Linked DNA regions of Schizosaccharomyces pombe. The protein of the gene in region 2 interacts with the protein of the main gene of each other region in a biochemical or structural test. Each region holds a gene or a part of one and is shown on either strand. Other genes may lie near its edges.

The links.
Region 1: the proteins of dis2 (region 2) and spc7 form a complex in vitro, tested with the Schizosaccharomyces pombe proteins (one study listed by BioGRID).
Region 3: the proteins of dis2 (region 2) and par1 form a complex in vitro, tested with the Schizosaccharomyces pombe proteins (one study listed by BioGRID).
Region 4: of the proteins of dis2 (region 2) and cdk9, one has a biochemical effect on the other in vitro, tested with the Schizosaccharomyces pombe proteins (one study listed by BioGRID).

The regions. Positions count from the first base shown.
Region 1 is NC_003421.2:785,766-792,324, forward strand, and holds spc7 (outer kinetochore KNL network protein, KNL-1 family member, blinkin, Spc7), read right to left. Parts: upstream 4,896-6,559; 5' UTR 4,850-4,895; coding exon 755-4,849; 3' UTR 524-754; downstream 1-523. UniProt on the Schizosaccharomyces pombe protein: Acts as a component of the outer kinetochore KNL1 complex that serves as a docking point for spindle assembly checkpoint components and mediates microtubule-kinetochore interactions.
Region 2 is NC_003423.3:3,172,600-3,177,092, forward strand, and holds dis2 (serine/threonine protein phosphatase PP1 catalytic subunit Dis2), read right to left. Parts: upstream 2,500-4,493; coding exon 2,448-2,499; exon of another isoform or gene 2,380-2,447; intron 2,099-2,379; exon of another isoform or gene 2,052-2,098; coding exon 1,120-2,051; 3' UTR 566-1,119; downstream 1-565. Other genes in the region: hom6 (homoserine dehydrogenase), read left to right, coding at 4,095-4,134, 4,204-4,493. UniProt on the Schizosaccharomyces pombe protein: Essential role in cell cycle control. PP1 is perhaps required for exit from mitosis.
Region 3 is NC_003421.2:1,474,015-1,478,644, reverse strand, and holds par1 (serine/threonine protein phosphatase PP2A regulatory subunit B-56 Par1), read right to left. Parts: upstream 3,073-4,630; 5' UTR 2,869-3,072; coding exon 2,845-2,868; intron 2,802-2,844; coding exon 2,706-2,801; intron 2,666-2,705; coding exon 2,452-2,665; intron 2,121-2,451; coding exon 1,366-2,120; intron 1,314-1,365; coding exon 1,015-1,313; intron 926-1,014; coding exon 667-925; 3' UTR 542-666; downstream 1-541. Other genes in the region: condensin complex non-SMC subunit Cnd3, read right to left, coding at 1-341. UniProt on the Schizosaccharomyces pombe protein: The B regulatory subunit might modulate substrate selectivity and catalytic activity, and might also direct the localization of the catalytic enzyme to a particular subcellular compartment. Has a role in cell shape control and septum formation.
Region 4 is NC_003423.3:1,468,568-1,473,682, reverse strand, and holds cdk9 (P-TEFb-associated cyclin-dependent protein kinase Cdk9), read right to left. Parts: upstream 3,116-5,115; 5' UTR 3,004-3,115; coding exon 2,861-3,003; exon of another isoform or gene 2,810-2,860; coding exon 2,728-2,809; exon of another isoform or gene 2,608-2,727; coding exon 1,057-2,607; 3' UTR 501-1,056; downstream 1-500. Other genes in the region: DNA-binding forkhead transcription factor, meiotic Mei4, read right to left, coding at 1-489; wdr8 (WD repeat-containing protein), read right to left, coding at 3,596-4,608, 4,648-4,723, 4,796-5,115. UniProt on the Schizosaccharomyces pombe protein: Component of the positive transcription elongation factor b (P-TEFb) which consists of cdk9 and pch1, and which phosphorylates the C-terminal domain (CTD) of RNA polymerase II and spt5.

The DNA.
Region 1 (6,559 bases), on a different chromosome or scaffold from region 2:
AAGAAGTAAATATGTAGAAAACCTGGAAATTAGGGCTCAACCGGCTGTCTGTGAACTTTCGATTGCGGATGCAATCTATTTTTAAGTGTATTAATATTTTTATCAGAAATTGCAGACGAGGTTCAGGAACTTTGACTTACTTAATTAAACTGTGTTCAAAAATAAAAAATGGATAACTTAATAATCCGAGCGAAGCCTAAAAATCTAAAAAACCTCCTATTTCAATTCTGCAAAATTTGAGCTTGCAAACTCATAATTTTGTAAGCAGCGTCTGACTTTCAATTATAAAAATCTAAATATCCGTCCAATTCTCTTAAATTAGTTAAGATCTTTGTTTTGTTTAGGATCGGTCTCTTCTATCGATTGTGTATATATGTATCTAGGAGAACGTAAGATGTCGATCCCGTACTTATCAGATCAATGTGAAACTTTACTACACCAGATTTGCACATCCGAGAATCTTTTAATTATGGATAGTTTATTTATATATTAACTAAACACTTTATTTTGTAGCGCATTACGGGTTTAACAAAAAGATTTATAATTTCATTATCAGTCAAGATCTACCATTATTATTTCACCAATATTAAATAGCATAAAATATATACATTTTCTTTAGTAACATGTGAATTAACGAAAACGAATGAACTAGTATACAACAAGGATAAATGATATTTCCAAGCGTTAAGCACAAAATGAATATTGGGAAAGGAAGTCGCTTCGGCGCAGCATAGCTAATCATTCCCATTAATATCTAGCTGTATTTGTTCCAAACAGTAAGACAAGCAGACGAAAGGGCATAAGTTGATGTACAATGCACCACTTCCGAAAGAGTATTCAAAACCTCACTAACATAAGAGTCTCCTTCACTTTCCGCATACATCTGTTTCACAGCGACTGATGTAGAAGCATAAAACTTTCCTACTTCAGTAGTTTGGTAGATAGTATCAATTGGGAGACCGAAAACAACCTTTACCTTAGATGATACCGAACGCAGGTATAGCTCAACATTTATGATAATAGACTTATCATCATTTTCAACTGACAAAAAGGGCCAATGGTACCATAATCGCTGGAAATCTTGGACAAGATAAACAATTTGTTCCCAACAAATTGAAACATCGTTAAGATACTTCTTCAGAAGACGTAAGTTCCTAGAAAATACCTTGGAATGCCATTTAGAAAACGACGATGCAACATGCTCGAGCACATTTGAGCTGCAAGCATTACTTTCGTTAGGGAACTTACAGGCAATATCAACGTTAACTTGGAAATTTTGCCTCAAAATCTCAACCGTAACCTCGGCTGAATAAGGAGAAAGAGCAGTGTTATTTGTAGCTAATTTAATTCCGCCCGCGGTCAAAGAAACTATGGTCCAGCCAAGTTCATTTTTAAGATTTAACAACTGCTCCTCGTATCGCTTAATTTCGTCAAATTCAAAATCTTGGTTTTTCGCATAAAAATCTTGTTCAGCGTTGGTACGTAATTCCAAATCAGAGCAAGAGTTTGTCACTTGTTCTATCTTTATTGCCAACTCCTTTCTTCTTTCTTCTTTTTCACTCAGAAGCCGACGTCTCCTCTCAACCTCAACCTTGAGTTTCTCTAACTTTTCTTGCGCCTGCGCTAGAAGAGTTGAGTCATACTGATTTGCAAATTCCTTCTGCTTCTTTAATGTCTGTACTGTAGTAATACTACCATTGTATCTCTCTTGAATTTCCTGCGCATACGGATGAATAACATTCGCGACATCCATTAAATGGGTCAAGCTTCTTTGCATCCCAGTTAAATTTAAATTTAATTCATGTTTGATTCCTTGCATCAAACCCTCACGCCATTCGTACCAATCACCTTTTGCTTGAAGTCTAGCAAAAGTTTTCATCATTAAAAATTGTGAATCCATTAAAACCCTCATATCACTGGATGCTTTCCTATACTCATAGAATAGTAACGGGTTCTCTTTCAAAGTTTCCTCTTCAATTTTAGTAACAAAATCCTTCCCTTCGGCAATATAATCCTGTAATTGCTGACAACTAAATTTGTATAACTCTAACAAAGGGAATTGTATGTAAAAAGATTCCAAAAGTTCTTGGATACTGCATTTCTTATTTTCTTCAGCATTTGGCAATAGGGTTTCTCGTCTTTTAGCAATAGTAAGATTATCCAAAAATTCAATTCCGGTCATTTTAAGAAAATCTGATAGGCTTATCGGCTCGACGTTTGGTAGAGTTGGCATCGTATCAAATTCTGGCTCATTACCAACAGGTATTTCTTCATTTGGACCAGAGTCTTGATTCAAAATGTTCGTGTTAATAGTCGAAGCGCCCAACGATGTATCAACATTGCTCACACCTTTTGATAATTTGACGGGTGACTTCTCATGTTCATTCATGCCCACGGAAGTTGTATTACCTGCATTTGACGAACCAACTTGAACAAGTTCATTCCGGTTGGGTTCCTGAGATTCCAATCGCTCCAAACTAGTTGAATCGGCGTAATCTGCAGTTGTTATACGCTCTTTTTCATCCTCATTCGAAGGTTGTTGAGGAAGCTTAACAGAAGAAGTCGTATTAGTTGGAACGTGCTTAATTTCGTTAGTCTGTTGAATTGTTAGTCGCTCTGTTTTACTCAATCCAGAATCAACATCTGCATTAGACACTTGTTCGCCTTTGTCATCAGTGGGTTGCCTTGAAACTTCTTCAGGAAGACTTGAAAGCGGCTTTTCTGTGGTGAATGGCTTCTCTGCGGTAAGTGGAGTAGCTCCTAGACGATAATTTTCGGATCGCTCAACCGATTTATAGAGACCAGAATTTACTTTTTTTTCGAAAAAGTTAACCGGTAGAAGTTCTCTGTCATTCAAAGTTGAAATTGATTTTCGAGCATTACGGATTGTTGCAAGACGATTGCGACGCAAGGTACTTTGATCAAAACTTGAAGTGCTATATCTTAAGCGTCTTTTCCGAGTACCAAGCTTATCAGTAGGAGTCGCTACCACATGTCTACTTGGAGAAGAAGAGTTAGGATCTTTCGAAAATTTTAGATTATTGTTCCCATTTGGTGACCGTTCATGGTTGGTAAAGGAGGTAGTATTGAAATTTTCTGACTTATCACTATATGAGGGTATTTCTTCTCTCTCGGCATTTTCCTTGTCTGCTGAAGGTAACTCAACATTGTTTCCACGGATTTGAAAAGCCACTGTTTCGTCCATAGCAGCTTCTTCCACCTCAAGATGAGATGTAGAATTCTCACAAGGAAAAACTGTTGAGGTTAATTCCATTGGTTGCTCTTCGGAAAGTGCTTCTTTAGAAGGGGATAATATATTGAAAGGTCTAGTAATGTCCATAAAGTCCTCACTGTCGGGAATGGGCTTTGAAGAATTGGCAGTCTTGTTATTATCCTTTCTCGGTTTTGAAGAAGAGGATATATTTGAGGTAAATTGATTTAAATCATCTTCATTCAAATGGGTGGGTGCATTTGTAGAGCTAATGGGTTGTGTCAAGTCCATTATTTGCTCTTCCATGGATCGTGACGATGGACGAATGGGGGAAAGGAGAGTTAAATGTGAGTTTTCGATATTAAAGGCGGAGGTGGTATCCATTTCTTCTTCTCCATTAGTTAAATCGTTCGGAGAATGATTAGTTAAGTGAGGATTAGCATTAATTGGTCGGGTAAGGTTCATAGGCGCTTCTTCTAAGTTTTGTAAATCTAAGCCATTGGAAAAATGAGACACTGGAGATAAATTAATGTTATTAGAGGTAATATCCATGTCAACAATAGCTTCTTGGGAAGTTAAAGGGCGAGCGATGGGGGAAAAGTGTTGCGGAATTTCAATAGGTCGAGTTAGCATCATATCTTCTTCTTCTTCTTTATTTTCCGACTGATCGTGATTTTCGTTATTTTTGGAGAAATCCGAAATTTCAATACTAGTTGGACTAGATGATTTGTTAGGGGATGAAAGTTGAGTTTGGTTTGAAGGGTCATGAGAAGCTTTTAAACTATAAACAGTACCTTGCTCGCTAGAGCTAAGACCTTTAATTGATTCGGAATGTGATAAAAACGAATCTGCTTCTTGGAATTGGATAGTCAAATCCATGTTAGTTTCCTCTCTATCATTAACCTGCTCTCTCGTGGCATCGTGAACATCAAGTGCCTTTTCTGCTTCAGGTAAGGCTTTTGTTGGATTCTGGATACTTAAATCATCATTCTCCGGATACAGAGAAGGAGGCGGATGGCCAGCATTCAATGCCTCAGAGACCATATCTGATTCGGTTGACCGAATAGGGGACGCAATGTCCATATCACTACCGTCTGAAATAATCGAGGCACTATGACTATGGGGAGATGATTGTGTTTCGTTTCTCGAAAAACTTGTCGTTGTTGGACCTTTAGGGGAATGGTTTTTAGCATCAGATGCAAAAGTTCGCTCAGGTGTGCTGTGATTAGATGTCGACTTTTCCGAGTCACTCTGGTGATCTTTAGGATACCAACGTACACGTGCATGACTAGCAAAGGAAACTCTTCTGTTCAAACTTTTTCTAGACGTCTCACGCGACAATTGCTGTAGGTCTTCCATTTGAAGTCTCTTTGACGCAGCCATAACATTACTAGAGATTCCAATGACCGTGTTATTTATTTGTGTGTGTATATCATTAAAGTCTTCATCTCCTGTGAAAGCGGGATCTACGGAAAAGGATGAATAACTCTTTAGAATGCCTTTTGCTGGATTTGTGTGTTCTTTAAGTTCTTGAAGCGCACCAGGTCCTCCAAGCGAGTGTGGACGCTTCCTACTTTTGTTTCTTCCTATAACATTATCGGTCGTCGCTATACTATTGCGACGAGGCGATGTTGGCATCGTCAAGTTAAACAAAGCACGTCGACACACGAACTTTGTTGTTTTTAGATTAAGACGAACATAAGAAATTGTAATGATAGTTCGTTAAATTTATGGCGGTGAGTTTCTTTTTGCGGCCTAGAACGCCTTTCGTTGTATTATTTAAGGAGTCTGTAAGCCTTTTTAGGATACGGTAGACTACGATGATGCTTTCTGTAATCATTCCTGTTAGCTAATCTGAATAAATAATGAATAAAGATCCTATTTGTAAAAGTTCCAATGAACAATATGACTGTTGTTCATTCTTATCATTAACAAATTGTATAAAGTAAAGGTAAATTGGGGGTACTTTTGTTCAACTGGGTCTATTTGTAATATTGGGTTTTCTGTAAACAATAAGGTAATGAGCATCACAAGCATATGCGCACTGTGATGGAGGAATACAAACTTCAAAAAGGTATAGATATCTAAGATTCACTTGAATGTTTTGTCAAATGAGCCGCACTGTTCTTTTGGCATAATTTAATGGATTAACTTGAAAGCAATGTGCGGTTGTAAGAAGTATAAGTAAATTGTAGCGAGGTTGTTATAAATTATTATTTCGCAAATTGTATATTATAATAATACTCGTGAATATTCCTTTAAAGGAGTGTGTTTATTTAATATCATTCCAGCGGCTTATAATCAATAATCGAGAAAAAAACTGTTTATTGTTAGTATTTCTATAATTTGATGGATATTGCCATGAACTTACAACCACATGTAATTCTATGTTCTACTTTCCATTGAGGTTCTCGTAACCTGTTCCATCATTGTTTACTATTCAAAAGTGGTTATAAAAGGTTACCGGCTAAGCAAATATAAGCTAGCTCATTCTGAACTATTTCCTGTTCATTTCCATGGTTATACTTAGCCATAGTGAAATTGACCAGACATTAATTCGTGTACTTTTCCTTTTACGATGATATATTGATCACAAATAGAAATTATAAATCCTTTTAAGTCAGATTACGATTGCGTTGCTAAGACCTGAAATTGATATATTATGTACTATAATCCATATGTGTTATTAACAACACTAATGCTTTCAAATCACAGTAAAGCTTAGTAACATAACTAGCATTTGTACAACATTTAAATGAGTAAAAAAAAAACAAGTATGGCTGAGCTCGCTTGTCTTAATATTTTTTATTAGAATGATAAATCATATACCACGATTAGGATTTCTTTGAAGAATGGAAATACAAAAGGACGTAAAATGTTTATATTCGGCACAGGAAGGATAGCGTTGTATAAACGAATGATAATTGTTCAGTATTTCAAACAAGTAAGGCTTTTGTCATCAATACTAACATTCTTTTTTTTTTTTTAAATCCGGGAAATTGACAATTCTTACAATTGGATATTTGTAAATCCCGTGTATCCCGTAGTATGGTATGATATTCTATTCGTTGCATTTGGTATAAGCCTTCAAATACGAGCAGACTTGGTTAGCCCAATATCATTCTCCCATTTGGATTTAGTCAATGTTACGATATAAATGGTCACAAATCTCCGGTATCGTAATGTTATCCAGTTTCAAACGACATAACATGTTTCAATTTAATAATGACTTATTAATAGTTGCATAACTACTGTATTTCACTAGAATCCTTTACTTAGCATAATGTGTGTGACATGATAAAAAGGGCGTCAGACATCTTCTCTGAGGAAGATTTGATAAAAATAGAA
Region 2 (4,493 bases):
AAATGGCATAATTCAACGTTTTAAAAATTTTGGATTTCTAAAATGAGAATCTCGTTTGATTTGTGCTTCTAAAAATAAAGGTAGTCTGCCGGTTAAATTTAAAGCGAATGCGTAGAGTAAGCTCTTACTGGATGTATATGAATAGCTGTGACGTTCTGTTAATCTAAAGTAAATTGTATCATTGCACTTTTTAACAAAATTACCCGTGAGATTAATTGCGGTTGAACTTGTTTTTCGTGCTAGACTGATGATTCGCCCTTATACATATTGGCTAACTTTCGGCTAATCTTCACCGAATTTAGTCAAGAATTGGGTGGTACAAATTTTCTATTAATTGATAGTACCTTAGCAGCAGTATAAATCTGAATTTCTTAATATTATTATTGTGTTCATAGACTTGTTAGTGAGTACTCTGCTAACTCGCCGGTAAATAGCTGTAATGATAATAAGCACCTTACTCTCTCTTACGATTAAACGGTGGCTTTATATTATCAAATCCCAAGGAATGCCGAAACATTGTATAAGCCTACTGTATATAAACGTGTGAACTACCATAAAATAGCATCACTGAAAAGGAAATTTGATTGCATAGTAGTATAAACAATAACTAAATAGGCAAATTATTTTCCAACGTGAGACCAGTATACATAATTGAAATGAAAGACCTTTAAACAAAATTGTCAATGGTCATTATAAAGGATTCCACCGATAGCAAACAGAAGCTTGCAGCGGAAAATGCCATCATCAACGTTAAGCACTCTCTCGAAGATAAGAAGTATAAAGTAGTTCAAACAACTATTGCTCGGTAAAAACATCCGTCTTTTAAGCGTCAGATTTTGTTAAAAAAGGGAATTTAGATGATGAAAAATAAAAGGCAATAGTCTATATACATCTAACAATTGACGGAAAAGAAAGAAAATGAATAATGAAATGGTAGTGCAAAAAATAATTTCTTAAAAGAACATTCAGTTATTTCATGAACAATTAATCATCGACCATTGAGAAATGACGAAAAGAAATCCGTTCAAACAGCTACATAAAGCGGTATTATCGTCGAATTGTTGCTTGTGGAAAATGAAACCAACAAAAAAGAATGGGAGAAATTGGATTGAGCTTAAATTACTTTGAATTTCCTGTCTTATTCTTCCGAGGTGGAGTCATGTGCCAATTTTGACTTGAACCTTGGTATCCGTAGCGTTGTTTTTTTTCAGCCGGTTTCAAAATCTGGAAACTGCACAACAAGCTCTCGTCAACACTCATCATCGCACCTGCATTATCAAACTCGCCACAGTAATTAGGTGCACTGAACAATGTGACTAGCTGACGTTTAGAGAAGAACTCATAACCGTCTTCCACAACCTGATGGGCTCGGCAAACAAGATCCATATCGTGTTTGTGCAAAAACCGAGAGACAACATCAGGTCCAAACGTGAAAGAAACACCTCTATCATTATCACCCCAGCCTGTAAGATCCTTGTCAGGATCAGACCAAAGTAAATCACAGAGTAACCCAGTATCAGGGACATCGGTCGGTCGCATGATTCTTTGGATCTGGTCCATAGAGTTCAAATCTGGCGAAAGACCTCCATGCATAGTAAAAATTTTTTCATCAATGATAGCTGCTATAGGAAGGCAGTTGAAGCAATCTGTAAATGTTTTCCATAACTTAATGTTATAACGGCGCTTACATTCATCGTAAAATCCATAGATACGATTAATACTGGCGCATTCATGATTTCCACGTAAAATAAAAAAATTTTCGGGGTACTTGATTTTATAAGCGAGCAAAAGACAAATTACTTCCAAGCTTTGTTTTCCTCTGTCAACATAATCACCTAGAAACAGATAGTTGGCTTCTGGAGGGAATCCTCCGTACTCAAAAAGTCGAAGAAGATCGTAATATTGGCCATGAATATCTCCACAAATTTTCAAAGGAGCTTCAAGCTCTAGAAGGATAGGTTGACTAATAAATATTTCACGTGCTTTGTTACATAAAAATCGTATTTCATCTTCAGATAATTGAACCTGTCTACCTGGACGACTACCACGGACTAAAAGAAGTTAGTAAATAGCTAAATGGTTTAAATGGTAAAATTAAGGATGGAAGTATTGGTTAGAAAAATCATTCACACAGAAACACGATATATGCCAATATGCAATCGCATTTGAATACAAATATGCGTGATTATGTATATAAAGCAAGTGTCATCACAAATGAGACCAAGAATCAAAGAAAATGCTTTCTAAACGTTTTCAAAGAAAAAACTTTCCCTTTTTCCTGGGTTTTCCTCAAATTTTATGAACAGTTGAATGAACATTTACATAGAGTCGTTTCCAGTTTCTTCATGTAAATTATTGTATTAAACAACAACTGATTTCAATTTCCTTTCAAAAATTTGTCTAAACTCAACCCTTCATCATGATCAAGTCTGCTTTTCCCCACTCACCTTCTAACAAGCGGTCGATAATGGAATCCAAATCCACATCTGGGTTCGACATTTTACAGGTATCCAATATAACCGCTTTTGACACTTATGAAGTCAAATTTTTGGGTCTGTGATTAATTTTTTACTCGACCGAATTTCGACGATTTTTCTTCCAAGTAAAGTGTTCCGAGGAAAAGTAAGACGGACGGAGAACGGTATTCAGTCGGCAAACCGTTTAAAAGCAATATTTGCTGCTAACTCAGAAATAAAGGTTATGGCTAACAGTAGGAAACTGGAGTGAGTTGTATGTAGTAGGTAGTTGAATGGTTGGGTGGTGGGTGTACAACGAGCTTGATGCATAATATGTGCCTACTTTCCTATATTCCTAGTTTCTATAATCACTACTACATTAAAAAAACGTATATAAACCTATAATTAAATTACTTTGGAATTCTTTTCTTATATTAATTGTTGATTTTAAACAACCCTCTAAATCTTGCTGCTCTACAAATTGTCTAGCAAATTGATTCAATTTTCTTTATTAATAAAAGGTGAAGAATAATTTAAATATTTTAAGAGATAGCAACCTACTTCAAGATAATATCGGTTTATTGTTTTGCAAGAAAACTTCATTAGAATTTAAAATGGTATATTCAGAACATTTTAATTTCGCAGTATTTTATCATAATATTTTATTTTCTTCTAAGCTTGATTTAGAAAATAAATAAATAATTTAATGTATGTTATCTGAACTTTTAAATTGAAAAAGCTGCACCTGCTTATGATTTGAGTTTGCTAATCATAATAATATGCATATATAATTAACAAATTATATAGTCAGATTGGTTTCATTACAGTTTTTCATTTTCTTGAACCCTAGACTTTTCTCTTCAAAAATCTCTTTTTTTTTTTTTTTTTTTTTTTTTTTTAATAATAAAAAAGCAAATTTGATGGATGGAATGTGATTTATTTAGACACTTAGCAGCATATAATTTAATTTACGAAGCAAAAAATTAAATATTTTTTTTCACGAGTCGATAAACACTAATAAATCACATAAGTTGATTAAGTGGTTTTTATTAATTGTAAAAGTAAATATATGATTGTATGCCATTGAATCCCATATATGAAATTTAATGCGTTATATTTATAATTTGTGATTAATTTATATAAATCGGCTTCTATACTAGATTTCTAGCTAAGTTTATTTAGCGGAGCTTCAATAAAACAAAATCAAATTAAATAAAATTTGTATCAAACGAAATCAACATCATTATTGCTACAGTAATAGATTTTGCGCTTTTGAGTATTATTACAAATATGTTCTGACTCGATTAATATAATGTCGCTCACATTTTGTTCACAACAAATATACCTGCAAAACTTTGATATCAATCAGAGAGAAAGATCCTTCCTTGGTTGAAAACTCATTTTTGGGTATAAAATAAACTCTTCTAAAAAATGTTTGGTATGACAATATTTAGACATGGAAAAAATTTAAATCTCCCTAAATTATCTACACTTTCTAAAATTTTATTTCCCTACAACAAAATTATCAATTCGTATATCACCTCTTCCAAAGTTTCCTTTGAGAAAACCCTTGTCACTGCTTTTCGTAATCCGACCCAACGTCGTAGCATCTCTACCTCTCCCACCCACTATTTGAAAATGTCAGCTAGCAGAACTAACGTTAACGTTGCTATTGTTGGTAAGCACACAATAAATTGAATGCTTGAATGTTTTGTAAAGCGAAAGCTAATCACTTAAAAATAAATAGGTACAGGAAACATCGGCGGTGAACTCTTAAACCAAATTAAGGGTTTTAATGAAAACGCTTCTACCAATGGCACTACCTCTTTTAACGTTGTTGCCATTTCTAGTATGGAAGGTCACTACGTCTCCAAGGATTATCAGCCCATTAATTTGTCTGAATGGAAGAACCTTACTTCTCAGAACCAAGGTGCTTATTCATTAGATGCTTTGGTAGATTTCCTTGCCAAGTCCCCCCTTCCCGCCATTTTGGTCGATAACACTGCCTCTGAAGCAATCGCTCAATCTTATCCTAAA
Region 3 (4,630 bases), on a different chromosome or scaffold from region 2:
ATTTCTTTTACACAATTAACCACTCTGGCAATAATTTGGCAGCAACGATATCTTACAGTTTTATCTTTGGCATCTAACCCACGAAGTATATGTTTTAAGATAGGTTGAACAATGTCTATCTCAGGATCCTTCTGCTGAAGGTAATTAACAAAGGTTACTAGGAACCTCAAAACGCGGTCAGCATTTGAGTTTCCTTTTTTAACAGTTAATATAATATTTAGCGCCCTTAGGATGTCGGTTTCAAATCCTTCCTGCGTCCGTAGGGTAAACAATTTGTTGCATAGCTTTCTATGACCAGCAATTGAAGTTTGACTAGATGAAATAATTTGAATGCAAGACATATTCAATAACAATTATATTATGCCAATTTTAGTGCTTTTGCTGAAGTTGAGGAGCACCTCACTGGCATACCTACAGTTGGCTCTCAGTGGTAGGTTAAGCTGGGGTATGCAAACAAAAAAATGAACCCTTCTAGCTTAGGCCCACTTGAGATTGCAACATTCAATTTGAAAAGAAGATTGCTACCAAGTTACCGATTTATATTTTATTACAATCAATTAAAAGAAAAGGAAATACTAACTGAAAATGATATAGTATGTAAAATGTAAAAGAGGGAATATTAGAGACTAAGTACAATATATGGATCATTATTAAAATATGCAAGTCCTAACCATTGGTGTAGTCAAGTGAAAGTTTTTTTAGTCTCTCAGTAGTAGAGTGCACAGTAGTAGGGTTTTGAGATTTAAGTTTCATAGCATTCTCTTTAGCGATGTTTTCTAGTATAGTCCATCTTTCTTCTCGTATAATTTCTTCATCTTCTTTTTTCCGACGACTCTCAGAATACTCAGCATCAACTTCATCGAATAAAGAAGGATTAATGTCCATGAACAATTTTAAGACGTTACAAACCATAGAATGTATAACTCTAACAAAACGTCAGCAAGAACTAATAAACCACTTTCTTTATCTTAAATAAAGAAAATAAAAAGGGATTTTAAATGAGTAACTACTTACCTATTCCAGTGACTTTTTGAAATTTCAAAGAGTGCGGGATATATAATTGGTAGTATAATGTCAACGTTTTCTTCAACCAAATGCACGAAATAGTCGTTGTTAAAAAAATATAAAGCTCTTTCAGCAACTTGGAAATTTTGGCTAGATATGGATGTTGCCAACTTGTGGAAGAGCGGCACCTGGATCTTTAAAAACTCTGAAGGTTCCATCACTTCAATAATATCTTCAATTTCATTTAAAAATAAGACTTCTTTTGAGCTATTTACTTTCGGCCAGTATCGAAGTAAGCCCAAGACAACCTATATTGTCATCGTTAGATAAAACGTAAGAAACACTAGGAAATATACATACCTCTTCTGTAACAGATGAATCCTTTTCAACAAATTGAACAATTCCATAAGCAATTTGAGGGTAATAAAGGGGAAGGGATTTGGCTTTATGTAAAGGAATAAGAACACGTGACAAGAATATTTTGTGTTCCTCTTTTAGTGGTAGGGCAAATCCATTAATGATACTCCCGAGGATTTCCAACAGTTCGGCAATACCATTAAATTGCTCGTTCTCATAGACAAACTGCAAAAATAAATTATTAATTGAGCGCCTTATGAACGCACGAAGAGAAAGAAACTTTCCGTATATTCTATGAAGTGTAGTCTTTAGAAAATCACGTTCCCTAGGATCTTCGCTGTCGAACAATACAAGTAATTTCCTAATAAATTTTTGATTAATATACACCTTGGCTACGGATGTATTCAAAGACGGAGATTCAAAAAATCTTAAGAAAAAATCGTAAACAAGGTGAAGATGGGGCCAAGCAACTTCCAAAGCCGGCTCATCTTCTTCAAGATCCATGATTTCACCGGGAGGATTAGAAGGAGGAGGTAAAGGACGAAACACATTTACTGCAAACATATGAACAATGGATGGATACAATGACTCATCAATTGCTTCCTTTCGAACAGATATTAAATCAATGAGATCTTGAAGAGCCTCTCGCTTCACTTCTTTTCCGTAAAGATCGGTGGAGGGATCGTTGAAATCGAAAACAACGCAACATTGTTCTAATTTTTCCAACGCCAGAGAGTGCCATTTATTAACAGGAACATCTAAATAGACAGGTTAGTAAATTAAATTGGTTGACAACAAAGTATATTGATAACACCTCAGTGTTTGTCAACACCAAGTACATTAAATCAGAAAGAAAATCCTATTCAATGTTTGTGGTTTAAATCATCTCTTAGTAAAATAAAATGAAATGTGAGAAAAAATGGAAGGATTCCTTTTTCGATATCAGACACATCAAGCTGAACAGTAAATCCACAAGCGACACCAGCATGTGCCGCATTGAACACCATCCAATTTCATGACATTCTAATAAGAAACAAAATCTTTTATAACTACTTAAAACAATCAATGAAGTGTATCCATAAAACATACCAGTAAAGGATGGAAGACGGACCAGGTTTCGATTTTCAGATATATGGTAAAGGGATGAACGTTGTTTACGAACAGTCCTGACATTCTCTAATAAGATCTCATCTCTAGGAGTTGGTGTGGTATCAATAGGTACTTTCTTTCCTGAATGTTTTGGAACAGTAAGAAAGTCGTTTTGGGCACCAATCACAGAACCATTGGGATCCGTCGAGGGAGACTATGAAAATGTTAAAAGTAAGTAAAAACCTTTTCCGTACCTCTTTCGGAGCCTTGCTAGAGTCATGGGAATTCGATTTTTTGCTTTCCTTCTTCTTGCTAGACTTCTGGGTATCTTGAGATTTCCCTCGAGAAAGCTAGATTCTGGTTAATCAAATAAACACTAGATATGGATCTTACCATTTTGCTTTTAATCCCTTTCATCTTGAGGGCTATTTGGAGCGCTCCAACCCTTTCTTCTTTGAAGCTTTCAAAACAAGCCTACAAATTTGGAGACAAAGGGAGTTCAATTTGAAGCTGTTTAGCAGCTCTTATATAACCGTAAAGGCGCTTCTAAATAGCAAAATTTTCGAAGAAAATTCAGCCGCTTTCTGAGAATTTAACACTTTTACTGCTTTTTTGGAATGTACCGACAGGTGGAGATCCGGTCGAGGAAATACCGTGTAGCAAACACACATAACGAAACATAACACCACTTGAAAATTTTGTTTAATGTACCGGTACGTGAAGCTACGAAAGTACAAAAGGTCGTAATTTTATTTAACGATTCTTTAATGTACATCGGAAAGTGGGTTTGACAATAAACAAAGAAAATAAATGATACTTACCCAAATTTCTGAAAAAAAGCGTAATTGTATATGTTGCTTATAAGCTTTCTAACATCAATCTCATTTCATAATCTCCCAATAAGTTAAAAAATTTACAGCAACGTGCTAACAGTATGGATCTATCGGTCGTTACATTTTAGGGTTCGCAGTTGATTTCTACTTTATACAAGAACGAAAATTTAAATGAAGCCTTTATTTTACAAAACCTTTGAGTCAGTGATCGGTGCATCTCATTTCTCAAAAATGTAAAAACTAACTCCCAAGGCGAGACTCGAACTCGCAACCTTCTGATGACCATCATAAGAGTCAGACGCTCTAAACCGATTGAGCCACTCGGGACTTGCTTGTTCATTACGAGATTAAGTACATAATATATATTTTACAAAATGTAGTGTCTTTTAATTGTTAATAGTCAGAATGTCTTTTTACTAAACATTCGTTGACATTTTATTGTGAAGCTTAATGTTGATTAAAATGTCTGTACGCCAAATTATTTTTGAGGCTTCATAGCTTAGGCTAGTGGGTGGGTTGCGAAAACGAATGCATTGACTGGTTTGAAATTGGTATTTATTCTTTATTTAGACACAGCACTAATGATACTGGATTGAAAAAAATTCCTTGAAAAGAGTTACGAATAAAAATACTAAAGTATGGTAAATATATAAGTGTTTCCTTCCCTACCCCAATGAAACGAGACATTCGAGTGAACTACTCCTATTCTCGTACTAGGAATAGCATCGCAGGGAATAGATGCTGTTGAGTTCACTAGACTTGAGAATGCATATAAAAATCAATTTTGTACGAGCGAGTAAATCGTCAATTTTTGTTAACGTAGCATTCCTATCAATCTGAACAATTTTTTTTTTTTAGTTTTCAAATTATTTCAATGATCATTCATATCAAGATTGTCATTTCTCAAGTTATTTTTCTATGAACTACTCACTAGTTAACCTACTTGAATAACAGAATAAATACTATTATTTAACACAACAAATGTCTACGGCCATACCTAGGTGAAAACACCAGTTCCCGTCCGATCACTGCAGTTAAGCGTCTGAGGGCCTCGTTAGTACTATGGTTGGAGACAACATGGGAATCCGGGGTGCTGTAGGCTTCCTTTTATTCTTTTTGCTTTTTGTTGTATTTGTTTCTAAAGAGGTATAGTCCAGTTATTATTTCTATTCATAGTCTAACTTCCAATGTATGAGGAAAAACATACATAACAATTAACTAGCTTGTTCAAGCTTCCATCATTACGATGGATTGGTGAATTACAGACAGCGTGAAAATGGAAAATGGAGTGCTTCCATTTTCCATTGTCTTTTAACTTAAAAAAATTTTTGAGTTTTCGTCTTCTT
Region 4 (5,115 bases), 1.7 Mb from region 2:
CTGCATATGGTCAGGATCAATTGTCCAATAATGACCTTTTAAAGTTTTACCCTTGGGTTTTTCTACTTTGATAAAGGCTTTGTTTAATGAAAGGTTGTGCCTAATGCTATTTTGCCAACCACCATCATGGTTGAGGTAGTAGCGAAACGTGTTGCGAATCCACGTATAAATCCCGCTTAAAGTCAGTTGCTTGTTATGTGATTGTAGGATCGCCAAACCGATTAATGTAGCATAAGAACACGGTGGTTTTTCACCAGTATCCACAAAGCCCGCCATTTCATCTCCAAATATCATTTGTCGTATACTGTCACTACTCAGGTTTTCTTTATTCTCTTCACGAAGCAATGCTTCAGTTTCGCATTTTTCTTTAGAAGACACATTGGAAACATTTTGAGAATCATTAATTTTTGAAGATTCCTTTAATGAAAGGCTAAGTATGACCTTTTTGGGTTTACCATGTGCTTCGACATTCCCTTGATTTTCAACCATTTGAACAATTTAATAATTTTTAGAGTACTGATTATTATATTTATTAGGTAATTATTAATGGTATTTGTGTTATTTTGACTCTGTTTTTGGATGACGGGTTTTGTAGTAGGTAGGTGGGAGAGGGCTGGTCAAGCCGTATACAAACAAGAGGTATTTAACCGAGGTCAAAACATGGGTATGGGAAGGGAAGAAAATACCGTAAATATGTAAACACAAGCAAGGAAAAAAGCAGTTTTGTTGAAAATAAAGTAATTTTCTTTCCAATACATTACTTACAAGTCATGTTTTAAGATTATAAATTTAGTAAATAAATAATACAAATAAAAATCTCCGTGCTCAATTTGCTAAGGTCAAGCTTTTAAAGAAAAAAGAAATATAATTAATTTTCTTTGCTTTTTCCTTTTTGTTTTAAATTTTATTTTGAGCTAGAAAACCAACTTTGGCCTTTAATGAACAGTCGCCATCACGCGGAAAGGCCATTAAAAATATTATGGGATGCTCAGCAAATTAAGTTAATTTAAGATATGAAGAGAAAGCCAAAAAGTAAAAAGAGCACATTCGTATGGATCATTTAGGAGTGTCATCAACGTTGGAATTTTCATGAAAAGAGGGTGACTTCAGATCAGATGTGGATTGTTGGTGCAAGCTAGTAGAAGATGGATGTTGCTCGTTGGTCTTTTGGTTGGCAGATTGTCTAGCAATTGAGTATTCAGGAACATATGAGTCAATGTACTTAATATTGTGTTGTGTTTTGTTGGTATCCGCATTTTCGCTTGCTCGAGATGTCGTTTGTACTTTGCTATTATTCTGGTATCTGGAGGACACATTCCATGCTGGTTGTTGAGACTGGGAAGATTGTCTTCCTTGACGGCCGTAATCCGAGGGGTTTCTTAATCGTTGAGATCGGTCTTGTTCAGGCCGGTAGTAGCGTTGACCGTCTGCATGAGAATGATTAGAAGTTTGATTCATAGCGTTAGTTTCAGAAAATTCGGAATTTTTCTGTGGCAAATCAGACGTTAAAGGTTTAAAATTTTGCTGACGCTTAGGCTGATAATTAACATTACGACTTCTATCCATGTTACCGCCTTCACGATTGTACGAACCACGTTGGTATTGCGGTTGTGAGTTATAATTTGGCCGACGAATTCCATACCACGGATCGCTAGGTCCACGAGTCATGAACCGGAACTGTCTCTTACCATTAGCGGTTTGTTCAAACGCATGTGAATTAGCATCTCTCTGTTCTCTTTTCCTTCTTTTGTCGTACTCATGAGAAGCACTGTAGCTCTGTAGTTCAGAAGGGTTTGCTGGATATGGTGGTGTTGTAAAATATTCATGCTCTAAAGCCATTGAAGCAGATAAACGTTCATCCGGATTAAGGGTCAAAATAGCACCGCAAAGAGAAGTCATTTCCTTTCCGAAAGTAAAAAATGCAGTTTCAAGTGTTCTAGGGTGTGAAGGAAAAGAGCGAACGCCTTCGCACCCAGGAAGCTTTTCCCAATTTGGCATAGTAGCTTGAGTTGGTGATCCACAAAGGCGAAAGATTTTATCCAATTGGTCCAAATCACTACTTCCTTGAAGGATTGGCCTTCCTTTATACATTTCGGCCATGATGCATCCCACGCTCCACATATCAATAGCGGTAGTGTAACGACGCTCGCCAAGCAAAAGTTCTGGTGATCTATACCAGCGTGTAACCACACATCCAGTGTATTCTCTACGATTAGGTGGAGGCAAGCCAGGATTTTTGTTTGCATATGACTCCTCCGTTATCACACGTGCGAGACCAAAATCGGCAATTTTTAAAATCCCGTGATTATCAATCAATAAATTAGCAGCTTTAAGATCTCTATGAAGGATAAGCTGATCATGTAAGTATTTGGTTCCAGCAAACAATTGCTTCATATAGCATTTAATTTGCGGCTCCGTGAATTTTACACTTGGATTTTCTAATAAACCTGAAAGGTCATGATCCATATAAGGAGTCACCATATATATAGAACCACGACGTCGATGCTTCTTGTCTGCACGAACAACAGTCATATCAGATAATGGAATAATATTCTCGTGTTTAATCGATTTTAAAATTTTTATTTCGCGAATGGCTGTAATGGGAAACTAAAATGTAATGCTTTAGTATTTATTCATGAATTAATTAAAACAATTAACGCAATCAAGTCGATGCGTCCCAAGTCATTCTGTCAAAATGAACAAGAATCTAAACAAACATCTACTTACACCTTCCTTTTCAGTATGCATGAGTATTCTTTTCAGCGCATATACCTTCCCGTCCTTACGCCGCTGCGATTTGTAAACTTCGCTGGTGAACCAAGTTAGTGATAAAATTCAAAATCAGATATTTGACACATACCCAAATGTTCCTTCTCCTAATTTTTCCATTAAATGATAATCCGTTAAATGGCTGCACCCTACAAAATGAAGTTTGGGTACGACATCTAATTTTCTCCTTGCTGATTTCTCATCTTCGACAGAAACGCTGCTTGAGCGTTTCATTTTTTTAACTTATATTATACAAAAGATCCCAACGATTAGTGAATAAAGTTAATTATACAAATTGTAGTATAAACCCGATCGATGCGCGAAATGTTGCATCTGATGAGGATATAGTGGAAGTGGACCCAACTATCAACTATATGCATTAAATACGGAGGCGAAGTAAAATGCGCTATGTTTCAAAATGAGAAAACAATACTGTAAGTATAGAGAATAAACAATGCTTTTTATAAAGGGAAAAAGTTGCATTAGTTTTAAATATCTTTCAAAGGACTCCCTAATCTCAAATAAATGCGCAAAGTTTACAATTTATGAATCAGGAAAGAGTAGTTATTAAAACTCAGGAATAGTACGTACTAAATTTAGAAAAAGATAGTTGAATAGACTGAAAAAGACATTCAAACTATAAGAGGTATGCAAAGGCCTTAAGCTGACGGGGTGCTCAGGGTGCTCATGTTTTACATGCGGGAACAATGAACGTGCATTAAAATATTATAGACATTAAGCGAATTAATTAGGTCGTTAGTAAAATAAAAAGAATATTTAAAAATGGTTACAATAATTAAGACTTTTAAGATAGAAAGTAAATCCCTTAAGATGGTATGGAAATCGTTTGCGTTGTTTCTAACTCATTATCTAAAACTTCTTGAGAAATTATAGTTTGAGTAACTTCGGTAAATGATTCATCTTCATCTTCCACAATGTAAGCAACGGTATATGCATCTTCACCACAAATTACTATAACTGGACGAGAACTGAATTCTGATGGTTGAAGCCATTGAACCTTCTGAATATTAAAACCTTTTTTTGGAACTCCAACGACCCTGGGTGTATTCCAACTTAAAGCCCAGAAGTATAGGAATGTAGCATTAGACGGAATTTTGGATTCTTTCCTAATTTTTGTTTGAATGACCACCAAATCGGGACGACCTGGATGCCATTCAAAATACACTATATGATGTTTTTGAATAAGAACAGTGTGCAGTTTTTTATTCTGTAAATTCCATAGCCAAAGAACATTAGGATATTTAGAAGTAATTGTAGCAGCATACGTCTCATCACAGTTGAAACGTATTTTTGATGCTGAACAAAAGGAGGGTTCTGGGAAATCGGTTCTGAGTTTATGTACTTTTTGATAAGTCATTTGTTGCTCATAGATTGTTTCCTTCTCTTCCCATATATGCATTTCCAAGTCAGTATTGGTATATTGCAAACAATGGTGAAGTCGAAAAACTATACTAAAAGTTTTTGTTTCAAGTAGATGTAAGGTTGAATCATGGTAACTGCACAAAGTTAGATATTTGCCAAAGGGACTCCACTCAAAATCGGAAAAGCCGACTTCAATTAACCTATTTGGTCGATATTCGTGAAAAAGAAGACCGGTGCGATGATAAATATAAACAACTGCATCTAATACGTTTTCCAAAACAGCTAACCAGTTTCCATCTGGCGACCAATGGATACCCGTCGAATCTATTGTAGGAAGCTTACACTCTTTAAGAAGTATCCATGCCTTTTTGCTGATTTGGTAAAATTGAAGGCAATCCGAACCGTTAAAACGAGATAATATAGTACAGAATTGCATGGATGGATGTAAAGCGTAAACTAAACAGTCAGTAAATTGATATATCAGACAAGAAATACCTTTCGAAACATTGGTTTTTACATGTGGAAGCAAATAACCTTTCTGGGTATTTAAAGACCACACAGTAATCTTCGACTAAAAAATTTGCTATTAGCATCGCAGATATATAAGCAAAAAGTTGTGCAAATTTTATTAGATACAACGTACATCAAAGGACGACCAGAGAAGCAGTTCTCCAGACGGGCTCCAGCTGATACTACTCAAAGGATCCTGGTCGCACTGTATGCTAGCATAATAATCGTGTTGTACAATATCTAATACAAACACTTTATCAACTGAGGCAACACAAATTTGATGGCATTTTTCTGCTCCTAAATTGGGTTTCCATAACAAGTATACAACCTTTTGAATGAATTGAGCGTTTAGAAGGAACACATGGTGAAGCTCGAGGGTTTCAGAATTTCGAATTAAGACATGCCCAGAGCGAGATAAAGACGCAATCCAATTACCACAATGTGAAACACTTG